Xenopus tropicalis: one gene and its partners. The protein of the gene in region 3 interacts with the protein of the main gene of each other region in a biochemical or structural test. Links are inferred from orthologs where the notes say so. Each region holds a gene or a part of one and is shown on either strand. Other genes may lie near its edges.

Region 1 (3,655 bases), on a different chromosome or scaffold from region 3:
AATTCCTCATACAGATGGAGAACATACAGTATATAGCATCAGTGGTATATTTTGCAAATGTACTTCCCAGCAGATCTTGAACATTGTATAAAAGGGGATAAGAAAGTGTGCTTTGGACTTACCAGGTACTTTACCACCATTCATCTCTTTATTCTGTTAAAGGAACAGTAACACCAAAAAAATTAAAGGGTTTTAAAGTAAATGAAATATAATGTACTGTTGCCCTGCACTGGTAAAAGTTGTGTGTTTGCTACAGTAACTCTACTATAGTTCATATATAAAAAGCTGGTGTGTAGCCCCGGGGGCAGCCATTCAGGCTGGAAAAGGGAGAAAAGGCACAGGTTACATAGCAGATAACAGATAAGCTCTGTAGAATACAATAGTGTTTTATCTGTTATCTGCTAAGTGCCTGTGCCTTTTCTCCTTTGAATGGCTGCCCCCATGACTACACAGCGGCATTCTTTAGGCAAACACACCAGTTGTACCAATGCAGGGCAGCAGTACATTATATTGGAATTTCTTTTATACACTTTAATTTTTTGGTGTTACTGTTCCTTCAAGCCTATGTGAAGCAAACACATTGCACTAATACCTAACTTTACAGTCTTCCCCCTTATGACTAGGATGAGCGAATCTGTTCCCTTTTGCTTGGCTGAAAAATTCACAAAACTGCAGAAAAATTCGAGAAACAGTGAAAAATTTGCGAAATGTGGTTACTTTTACCTCCCAACTTTTTGAGGCGATCGCGATTTATTTGACGCAACCATGATTTATTTGATGCAAGCTCAATTTTTTGCCACAACCGTGACTTTTTCCTTTTTTTTGTGCAGTGAATTTTTGCTCCCGTTTCGCAAAAAAAGATTGCCGATAGCAAAATATAGAATTTTGCAGCAAATCCAGCAGCAAACTACTTTTAACCCCAAGAAGACTCTCATATTTTGAAATGATGTTACCTTATTTGCGTTATATAAAATTACATAGTATAAGAATGGCAACTCACTAATTTCTAGCTGTCGTTGTATTCTTCCTTTGCTTCTCTCTCTGAAATCCACCTGAGCTTCATTGTATTTAGTCATAACATCCACAAATTTCCGAGACAAAACAGAATGCTGTAGAAAAAGGACACCCTCCATTACATTTTTCTTTCGTAAAAATAGATTTCAACCTAGCATTTTGCAATTTCATTTTATAGCTGAGAATTTTATGCAATACTACTTCTTTTTATTTCTTTCTTTTTATTTCTCATCTTTCTATTTAGCCCCTTCTCTATTGATATACTTCTTTCAAACCACTGCCTGGTTGCAAGGTTAAATTGGACCCAAGCAACCAGATAGCTGCTGAAATTTCAAACTGGAGAGCTGCTGAAACAGGAAATAATAAATGAAGACCAATTGCAAATTTCACACTAAGGGGCTGATTTACTTACCCACGAACGGGTCGAATGGAGTCCGATTGCGTTTTTTTCGTAATGATCGGTACTTTGCGATTTTTTCGTATGTTTTGCGGATTCTTTACGAATTTTTCGGATCCAATACGATTTTTGCGTAAAAACGTGAGTTTTCCTATCCATTACGAAAGTTGCGTAAAAAGTTGCGCAATTTGCGTAGCGTTAAAACTTACGCGAAAAGTTGCGCATTTTTCGTAGCGTTAAGTTTTAACGCTACGAAAAATGCGCAACTTTTCGCGTAAGTTTTAACGCTACGCAAAATGCGCAACTTTTTACGCAACTTTCGTAATGGATACGAAAAACTCGCGTTTTTACGCAAAAATCGTAATGGATCCGAAAAATTCGTACAGAATCCGAAAAAATCGCAAAACATACGAAAAAGTCGCAAAATATTCGTTTTCAAGTCGGAACTTTTCCAATTCGGGTCGGATTCGTGGGTTAGTAAATCAGCCCCTAAAAGTCAATCTAAATGTTAACAGCCCCTTTAATGCAATATTCATCTTTCGATAAACACAGCTCAGGGGATTGCACCTCAGCAACAAAGAAATGTGCCTACGTATGTACTTGTAAGGCAAAATGTTATAAAAGTTTCAAAGTTGTGATAACTCATAGAAGCATATAATAAGGTAATATTTACATATGTTTAAAAGCAAAGATATAATTAGTTGCTATGGATTAGTTAGACCATGTGCATATGTAAAGATTATAATTCCATTATCCTGTACTATGCAATAAACTCCTGTTTACACAATAACATAAAGCCATGTATCTATCCTCAGTTCTGTAGTTTGAATAATCTATGCCAAACAAAGTTATATCCAACCTGAGATTTTCGTATTCGAAGGTCTGTTGAGGACTGCATATCATCCTGTTCAATGGATTGTTCCATTGCTGAAATTGGAGGTAAGAGAACATTTTGTAAAAAAAATAAATATATATATATATATATATATGTGTGTGTAAGTCCCTGGTGAGGACAAAACCTAAAAAAGGTCCTGATGTGCATCAGTATTTTTTCATTATGTATAAGAAATGATTTAATATTTAAATATAGTAGAGCTCAGTCTTTAGAAACACCACTTGACACATAAGGGCCTCAAACCCTGTGTATGCTTATACATTCCTGATTAAATGTCCCTTATTTTTTTCTCAGATTATCTCCCTTTTTTTTGCATGACTCCTTCTCTACATAAAACCACTTGCAATGTTTTTCTGTTGCATGGAATTGTTTATTTGCCGAACTGTCTGCTGCTTGCCTGCTTCTAAGGTTCAGCATGTGGTGGAACGAGTAGACAGATTATTGTGAGGGGCTGGAAAAGACCCAGTGGTCATGGTACACATAGGTACCAATTACATAGTTAGTGGAGGGGGGAGGACCTCAAGGACAATTTTGTGTATAGATGATATTTGCTGAACAGTCTGCTGCTTGCCTGGTGCTAAGGTTCGACATGTGGTAGAAAGAGTAAACAGATTATTGTGAGGGGCTGGGAAAGACCCAGTGGTCATGGTATACATAGATACCAATTACATAGTTAGAGCAGGGGGGAGGTCCTCAAGAACAATTTTGTATATAGATGATATTTGCTGAACTGTCTGCTGCTTGCCTGGTGCTAAGGTTCGACATGTGGTAGAATGAGTAAACAAATTATTGTGGGGGCTGGGAAAGACCCAGTGGTCATGGTACACATGGTACACCTAGGTACCAATTACATAGTTAGAGGAGGAGAGAGGACCTCAAGAAGATTTTAAAAAACTAAGTGAAAAAAATTGAGGGTGAATAAAGATCAGATTTATAAAATGCTGCATATATAGATTTATTTCAATAATTCACGAACATATAAGCAAAATTATCCTTGATTTTGCTCTCTAGGAAACTTTTTGTTTCTTTTTTTAGTTTATCCACTGGGCAAAGTAAGTTAATTTGTTTTTGTTTTGTTTTTCTATATTTAAATTACTTATTTTGTTTCTCTGTAAGCATTCTATTTTCTTCATTCTTATCTTTTTGAAGGACAAACTGTCGAATGTGACTATTGTTGTACAACCTATATTTAAATAATTTGTCATTATTCATCCTATATGTTTATTGCAAAACTTCAATAAAATGTTTAAAAAAAATAAAAATTGAGGGCGAGGACCTCCAAGGTAATTTTATCTGAGATATTACCTGTGGTATGAGCACCATTAAAGGAGAACTAAAACCTAACTAAA
Region 2 (4,451 bases), on a different chromosome or scaffold from region 3:
TCTAAAGTCTGTGTAATCTATTCATTCCTCTTGCAGGTCCTACATGAATGTTTTTTTTTTCTTTTTTCCCCTGCAGTCAGCAGATCCCTATCAGTTCATTTATCATAGCTGCTTTAAAAGATCCATGCAAAACACTGTTTGATATATGCAAAAAGCTGCAATGCACAAGAGTACCCTGTGCACTGAACTAGACGTGGAAAAATCAGTTCCACTCTTGCAGATGCTAAAACAATTTGCCCAGGAATGTGCTGGTGATCCTGGCAGACATGTAGGTACTAATTACCCCAGTGGAATAGCAAATACACAATTTCCCAAATTATAAACTACCTATATAGCACAATGATGGCCTCATATATTTCTTTACTGGAAAAATCTGTGTTTGACAGACACTTGCCCGTAGAATGTCATATCCACTGTTACATCAAAACACATCAAGGTATAACTCAATTAAACGTTTGACAGGCACCTTAAACATGGATATTAACAGGCTTTAAAGTAATATTGCATTTGGCATGCACCCAGACATTTCTATTCAAATTAATGATTTCATACATGCAATAAAACTATTACATTATAACAACTTTAATATACTGTAACCTGACCTCTTTACTATTAATGAGAGTTATCCTGTTTGTTTTCTATTCATCATGCAGTGTTCCTTCTTACCAACAACTGCACCACTTATTGCTGTATAGACACACTAATGAAACATGAGTGACTTTAACACTGTCTCAATAACAGTAATATACATAAGAATAATATGAAATGTGTATATACAAAATGAAAAGGTCTGTATACTGAAACAACATAAACAAAAATGTAAGCTTATTTATTTCCCATTTCCACCATTTAATTGTGTTTTGGGCATATAATTTCTTAATTACATTCACCTCATCAACTCTTTGCTTTTGACCTAGACACCCACACTGGGGGGGTTTCCATGGTGGTGCAGTGGTATAGAAGAAAAAGGGAGGAGCACATCCAATTGACGCATTGTATTTAGGAATCACATACAAACACTTAACATTATGAACATCAGATGACTGGACTTACCTCCCAAAGCTTGCTTCATAACAAAATCCATATTGATGGCTTTTGATTCCTTCCACTCAGCTTATTTAGTATATTACATGCAAGATAAGCAGGGAACTCTTGAATTCTATCCTATAACAAACATATTAAATATGGTAAATATTATATGTAAATAAAACTGACTGTCAGATTTGCAGTATCAGATAGGAAGGCTGCTGTAAACATTGCAATAATCTGAGATTCCTCCTGTGATGATCCAAGTAAACAGAAAGCTTTGCTATGAAAGCAAATAATTCTGCTTTAAGGCTCATATAGGAAAGAAAAGAACTAATAGAGATTATGCTGACCTTCAAACTGAGGTCATATTATGCACTGGTAAAAAATCAGCTTTATGAATGATGCTCTGTTAAACTTTTAGGACAAAATAGACTCAGCACTAAGTGATTAACAGAGAGAGAAGAAGCTAAGCAATAAAATACACGTTCATCAAAACACCTTTATAACACGTAACATCCCCTTTTGTGTCTTAAAACATCCTTAACACACCCATTTCAATAATGAAATCGGCTTGACTCCTTTGCTGTGCCAGCCAGAATAATAATGTCTGAATGTCTGAAGGGACGTTTGAAGGTGAGGTGTACTAGTCAAGTTTCTTAGCTGCGTGCAGTACTGTCCTACATGAATGCAGGGGAAAATAAACATGCATCAGAAAAACTTCCTTTTTTAACTTCTTGCTTTAGGCATAGTTTAAAAATGATGTGAAATCATATTTCATATATTTACACATGAGGTTATACATAACTCCACAATGCAGCACACTGTAGAACTGTTCTCATAGTTTAGTCCAATAGGGAAAAATGTTAGCGACTATAACTATTACTTCACAGGCATTTGTTGTTATAGTTAATTTGCTAAATTAAGACTGAAGAAGATGGAAAAATATCTTTTGCAGCAGAATGTTCCACCCCACTGCATCTAGTGGGCTGCAACAAATGACATCCTAGTGTATCCTTACTCCTGCACTGCAGGTGATAAGAAATGTCATTTCTAAACCTACCACAGTTTGATACCTCCCTCTGCTGGTACACATAAGCCTGGCAAATTATAATCTATAACATCACAATAAGAAACCCCAGTATTTAAGGTAAGCTTTAATATGTGCTCATAGTTCACTATGGATGTCTGCTTGATTTACAAAAGTTATTCAAAGATTTTCTGTGAAGCAGAGGACAGCCCTGACCATGCCTGTATACTCCACTACAACATTTCCCATTCAAATCATGAATTCACAACAGTAATATATAAAACTTCCATAAGTCACTGTCCTGTCTCAGTGGCATGTCTGCTACTTCCTACTGTAGGTGCAGAGCGTAGTGCTCAGACATGCTGCTATACAATCTATCTAAAGGCAGTGTTTCAAGACAACACATGCTGCAATGGGCTACTACAGTACAGTGCTCTGAAAAAAAAAAATAAATGTGTCAGCATAAAAGAAAAAAAAAAAACCATGCAAGCAAGGAAAAAGCAGTGACATGAAACATCAATACCAGAAGCAACACAAAGCCCGTGTTATATATTTTTCAACATATAATAGCATGATGTAAATAAAAAAAAATTGTAGGGAATTTCCTGATTCATAAGGAAGGCAAGAAAGCCACATTCAGCACTAGGGAAGCCGGGACAGCTCCTGCTCACATGCTTTAGTGTAAGAGCAGGCAGCACATTAGCAGTAACGGTCTATATATAAATAGAGAATAACAGTCCTGTACCTTCTCTTGAGCAGAAAGGAGATCCTGCAGTTTGCCTGCTTCTTTCAGTACCAACTCTGCACCATGGAAGGAAAAGCTCCCCCCTTTCCCTAACGTATCATTTTTTTTCTACAGCACAGTCTCCTCCTCCCCTGGTCCATGTGTGCTCTCAACAGGAACTGCAGCCTCTGCTGAAGGGCATTTAGGGAAGAGTCTGCTTCACCAACTTACACTGTGTTCTCTTATTAGCAGACAGACATGTCATGGACAGACGAATGGGAATGCTAAAAGAACATGGAGCAAAAGGGAAAAAGCACGTAGCCATTAAAGGGACAGATAAAAGGAGATGGATGTATAACCTTGTTTTTTTTTTTTCTTCCTACATCCTCTTTTATCACTGACAAATTCTGTATCCAGACAGCCTTTTGGGCGGGGTTTGTGGCTGTGGGCTAGCAGGCAGAGCTGCAGGGTCCTAATTCATGAAAGCAAAGGAGAGATGCTGTCTAGGTTACTGTAATGCATTTATACTGTATGCCCTATTGAGCTACTCCAGTTCCTGCTTTCTGAGTCAAACATTTTCACAGCCATCGTCCTAAATACATAATAGGTCAGAATTTTTCAAAAGCTCTGTGATGCTAGGCTATCTCAGGTAAAGTACTTTGAGTTGAAAAGAAAAGAAAATAGAGCTAAATGGCTGCTCAGACACATACTCACGAATGTATTCTATATAAAACTGATCTTTAAATGCTAAGTAAATATGCATAGTGGCTCTGCCAGTTCCCCAGTTATAGTGAACTACAGGTCCCAGGATACCCAGCTGTAATTTGACTGATTGGATTTGGCAACGCTAATTATTAAATTGTACATCTTTAAATAAGACTGCAAGGACAGGACACACATATTGTAGTGAACTGAATTTCCAGTAAAGACATGCTCAGAGCATTTCTTATAAATGGAAACCAGAGGCTGTATTTACTGTACAGTATATGTGTAGGAAGGATAGAGGAGAAGGAAGGACAAAATCTGTGTTCTGTGGTTTGGTAGCATTCAAAGCTCTGGGACTAAAGATAATCAGGGCTTTTAAAAAAAATGTACTGTTAAGAGCTTATATTCTTAACATTATACAGTAACAATGGTACTAGACCATAGGGCTTACTTTTGTACCTTGGGACAAAGCAAAAAAGGGGTAAAAATCTCCGGGTTTTTTGTTAATTGCACCTTCTTGAAGAGCTTTATTGACTGGCTGCAGGTGGTGGGTGGCAGATGGGCACCCTTTGTATTGCCCCAATAGCTTGCATTCAGACACACAGGCTTGGGAGTGAGTGTCGGAGGCTATAAAGTCATAGAAGAGAGTATTAATACATGAGCCCCTTTTTTCCCAGCGGTATAACTTTATTGGGCCAGCCCCCGGTTGGCAAGAAACATTGTCCGGACTCCCACTCCACCGCTCTTAGCCCTTCTGCCCCTCCTGTTTTCCCCTGGGGCATAATCAGCTGCCCCAGTCAGTATCCCCTCTCACTCATTTCTGGTGGACAACAAGTAGCAGTCAGGTGACCATAAGGCAGACCCTTTGATTGTCTGGCCCCCTCTTCTTCCTAGAAATTAGAAATTCAAATTGCATTACCACAGTGACATTTTCTGAACAAGCAACTAAGTTCTGCAAGCTGCTAG
Region 3 (3,655 bases):
TAGCAGAAAATTTAAAAGACGTTGAAGGATTTTGACCCAATCTAGAAGGAATTTAAAAATGATAGAAAGAAAAGCTATTGATAAAATATATTTTTAAAAAGGGAAAAGGGCAATGCATGCATTTACTAGGGGTGCTATAAAAACATACTTGAAATCAAAGTGTGCATTACAATAAAGTCTATTCATTGTCCAAAGTTTATTTTTATGGTATTTGGACTGAATATGCTATTCATTAAAAGCAAACCAATTATAATGTAATTAGGAAAAGTCCAAAACAGCTTTGAGAGTTGCTGTCATGCAAGGACTATAGAATGATCACATTTCAACATTTCCATTAGTGCACTATGTCAACAAATATACCTATGCATTAAACTGAAAAATATTGTGACAAAATAAAGGTAAAGGATACAAATTTGTTAAAGAACAAGGTTTCGGATAATCCAAATATAATTTTTTTTGCATTTTGCTTTACATCTATTCCATAGATAGAATGAAATATAGATAATTTGTACACCAGTTTAAGAAATGTTGAAATTTGTGTAGGTCATTAGGAGGGAGCTATGCAACTCTCACTGCAGTATGCCTGATTTTAATATGTCTAGTCCTCGTCGAGTTGCATATTCTATGAGATGAATGCATAACTACTGATCTCTCTGCATGCCACATGCTCATCCTGCCCATGTGCCTAGCAGGGATGATCTTTGCAAGGCAAGAATATCAGCCTTGGGTGCTCAAAGACTTAGGCAGGCAGCACCTACTTGTTACATGGACAGACACAAAGACCACAGAATTTTCCTAGGTCCGTCAAATTCTTTTCTGCTTCTTTCATGTCCTTATTGATTTGTTCCATTCCCTCCTCGATGCGTTCCAGTTGTTCTGATTAAATACAAGCATTATATCCCCACAGAATGAAGCAGATGGAAAAGGACAAAGAAGAAAGACAAAAACTTCAGACATTCACTGTGACAAAAACTGGACACCACAGAGCAGAGTGGGTACCCAGTACCTACTTGTTACAAGGACATATGAAAAGGCCACAGCATTTCCCTAAATCTTTTAAATTTTTCTCAGCCTCCTTCATGTCTTGGTTGATATGGTTCATGCCTTCTTCAACACGATCAAGTTGTTCTGGTCAGGACAAAGGGATGACAGTGTGGAATGAATTTAAATTTGTCTTCAACAGAACATGATAAAGGACTATGTTTAACGGAACTGTAACGGTATCTCAATGCATTACTGGGAATGATGCATTGCTGTTCAAGAAGATGTAGATCTGGGATGCCTTTAAATGGGAAAAAATGTTTCGAAAAGAACAAAATCTGGGAGGGAGGCGAAAATATGATCTGTGGTGGCTTTCAAGGAGTTCCTTTAACATGGAGGGATGATGTATGGATAGTCTGCTTTCTGGCTAAAGGCTAAAAACAATTATAATGACAAACACATTTAACAACATCTACATAAAGAACTGCCCATGGATTGATTTTTTTTTAAAAAAAAGCATTAATTTCCTAGAAGAGAAATCAAGTAGTTAGTTGTTTTTATTAATACGCTGGAAAGGTTATTATCGTAACTTGAGGCTTCATGTTGATTTTATAAGTCATTACCAACATAAAGATTATATCGACACTGGTATCTTGTTGTAACAATGCTTTCAGTGTCGGACTGAGACCCCAGGGGCCCAGCAGAAAACCTTGGACCATAGGCCCACTTTCTAAACTACCATTCCTCCTCTCCCCCCTCACCTTTATTGTCCAAGTCTCTTTTCTCTATCCTTCTCTGTTTCCCATACAGAAATATGGAATGGACCATGCAATTGGTCAAACAGTTAGAAGCAAGAGAGCCCACTGACACCTGGGCCCACCAGGAGTTTTCCTGGTATCCTGGTGGGGCAATCTGTCAACTCGGACAGATCAAAAGAGCAAACAAAGATCTTGTTATAACCTAAACCTAAATGAGTTCCCTTTACCTTCTTATACCTTTATTATACAGTTCCTATAATATGATTAGTGGGTTATGGTGAAGTTATAGATCTCCATAGTATCACTAGGACACTGCCCATGGATAGATACTATTAGTGGGTCTTGATTCTCTGTAACTTCTCTATTAATTATGCAATAAAAACAAAATCAATTCATTCTGTGATGTTAATTGCTATTTAAATGAATCTTCACATTGTTTTAAATTAAAGAGAAAAGCAAAAGGCCAATAGTCTATGAATCTTTCAAAAATGTCTTTCTGTACCCATTTAAAGGGTAGCTTGAAGGAAAATGTGAAGATTATAGGACAAAATAGCACTTCACCTTACCATATTTATATTTCATTAAAATGGAAAATAGATTGTTATGAAATGTAAGGCCATTCTAGAGTATGCAATACAGTTTTGGACTCCAGTATAAAAAAGGACATTATAGGACTAAAGAGAGTACAGAGATGGGCAACAATATAAATATAATAGGGGATCTCAGTTGTGACGAAAGGTTGGCCAAGTTGGGATTGTTTACATTGTAGAAGAAAAGATTAAAGGAAAAGGAAAGCAACCCCTCCACATTATGATCTTCTTTGCTAAGTTATGGAAGGTGTGTATGTACAATAGAGTGTAAAGCTGAACTTGCTTTTTGACTGCACATGTGTCAGCCTGGGGCAACAGAAGAATAAAGAAGCGGAAGAAGAAGATCACTAAATACAGAAGTACCCCAGGCCGGTGCAGTTTTATGCTAACAGGAGTATTGCCCCAGGGGTATTAGGTAAGCTTTTATAATCACTGGGGGTGTTTAACATTTGGTCCTCCCTCCCAGTGAGTTTAACATTACTAGTCCTTTAAGGAGGATATCTGCTTCCCTTTTCATTAGAAGAATGTGGCTTTTGTCACGCAATGTTTCCCATTTCCAGAGAGAATGCACAACTAATCCAAAGCAATATGTCCGGATAAGATTGGCTGCCTATTTTTGTGAAAAATATACCGTATCAAGACTGAAGAGGGAATTTGTTCACCTTCTGATGCTAAATGATCATATCATCAGAGGATTTTTTCCCTCAGAGTTGGCCAACAGGTTGAACTTGATGGACATGTATCTTTTTTATTCTGAGCTGCTACGTATAATAACTATATAACTAGGACTTTAACAACCCCAATGGCATTAAAAATAAGAGAATGACAGATGCTAAGTTGAATTTTAGCACAAATGTATGCAAGGCATGTTCAGAAAGACTGCATTAGAAATAGCAGAAACATCAAATGACAAAAACCACACATGCCCTAAATACGTCACTTAAAATAGGACCAAAGTATTGCTCAGCAGCCAGCACTGCCATTTTACGAGCCATGAAATTAAATGACAAATTCAAAATAGGTTATCTAATTCTGGTAAATAATTATAAAGGACTGCAACGAAGCATAAAATCGGTAAATGCTGACAAGCAACAGCAAAAGTAGCAGTTAGGGCTCATTTTAAAAGCACAGCACATATGTCTGGGGATATTCGCCTGCAGCTTTAAATATAGAACATCTGCTTCCATTTATCTGGGTTTCAGTGCAATTTTTCAGCTCTTGTCCAAGATCTGCTAATGTTAAATACAGGAAGGTGTCAAAGCCAAAACTTCTAAAGGTACGAAGGCAATTCTGGCAAATAATTATTTCTGTCATTTATAATCCAAA

Evidence for each region.
Region 1: the proteins of snap25 (region 3) and stx3 form a complex in vitro, tested with the Homo sapiens proteins (2 studies listed by BioGRID). The link is inferred for Xenopus tropicalis from reciprocal best matches to the Homo sapiens genes SNAP25 and STX3.
Region 2: the proteins of snap25 (region 3) and cplx1 are reported together in a solved structure, tested with the Homo sapiens proteins (2 studies listed by BioGRID, with this or other methods). The link is inferred for Xenopus tropicalis from reciprocal best matches to the Homo sapiens genes SNAP25 and CPLX1.

Annotation. Positions count from the first base shown.
Region 1 is NC_030683.2:60,545,835-60,549,489, forward strand, and holds part of stx3 (syntaxin-3), read right to left. Parts: intron 2,339-3,655; coding exon 2,271-2,338; intron 1,110-2,270; coding exon 1,001-1,109; intron 1-1,000. UniProt on the Homo sapiens protein: Potentially involved in docking of synaptic vesicles at presynaptic active zones. Apical receptor involved in membrane fusion of apical vesicles.
Region 2 is NC_030677.2:110,343,379-110,347,829, reverse strand, and holds the start of cplx1 (complexin-1), read right to left. Parts: upstream 2,848-4,451; 5' UTR 2,802-2,847; intron 1,165-2,801; 5' UTR 1,085-1,164; coding exon 1,054-1,084; intron 1-1,053. UniProt on the Homo sapiens protein: Positively regulates a late step in exocytosis of various cytoplasmic vesicles, such as synaptic vesicles and other secretory vesicles.
Region 3 is NC_030681.2:26,715,510-26,719,164, reverse strand, and holds part of snap25 (synaptosomal-associated protein 25), read right to left. Parts: intron 1,129-3,655; coding exon of another isoform or gene 1,011-1,128; intron 877-1,010; coding exon 759-876; intron 1-758.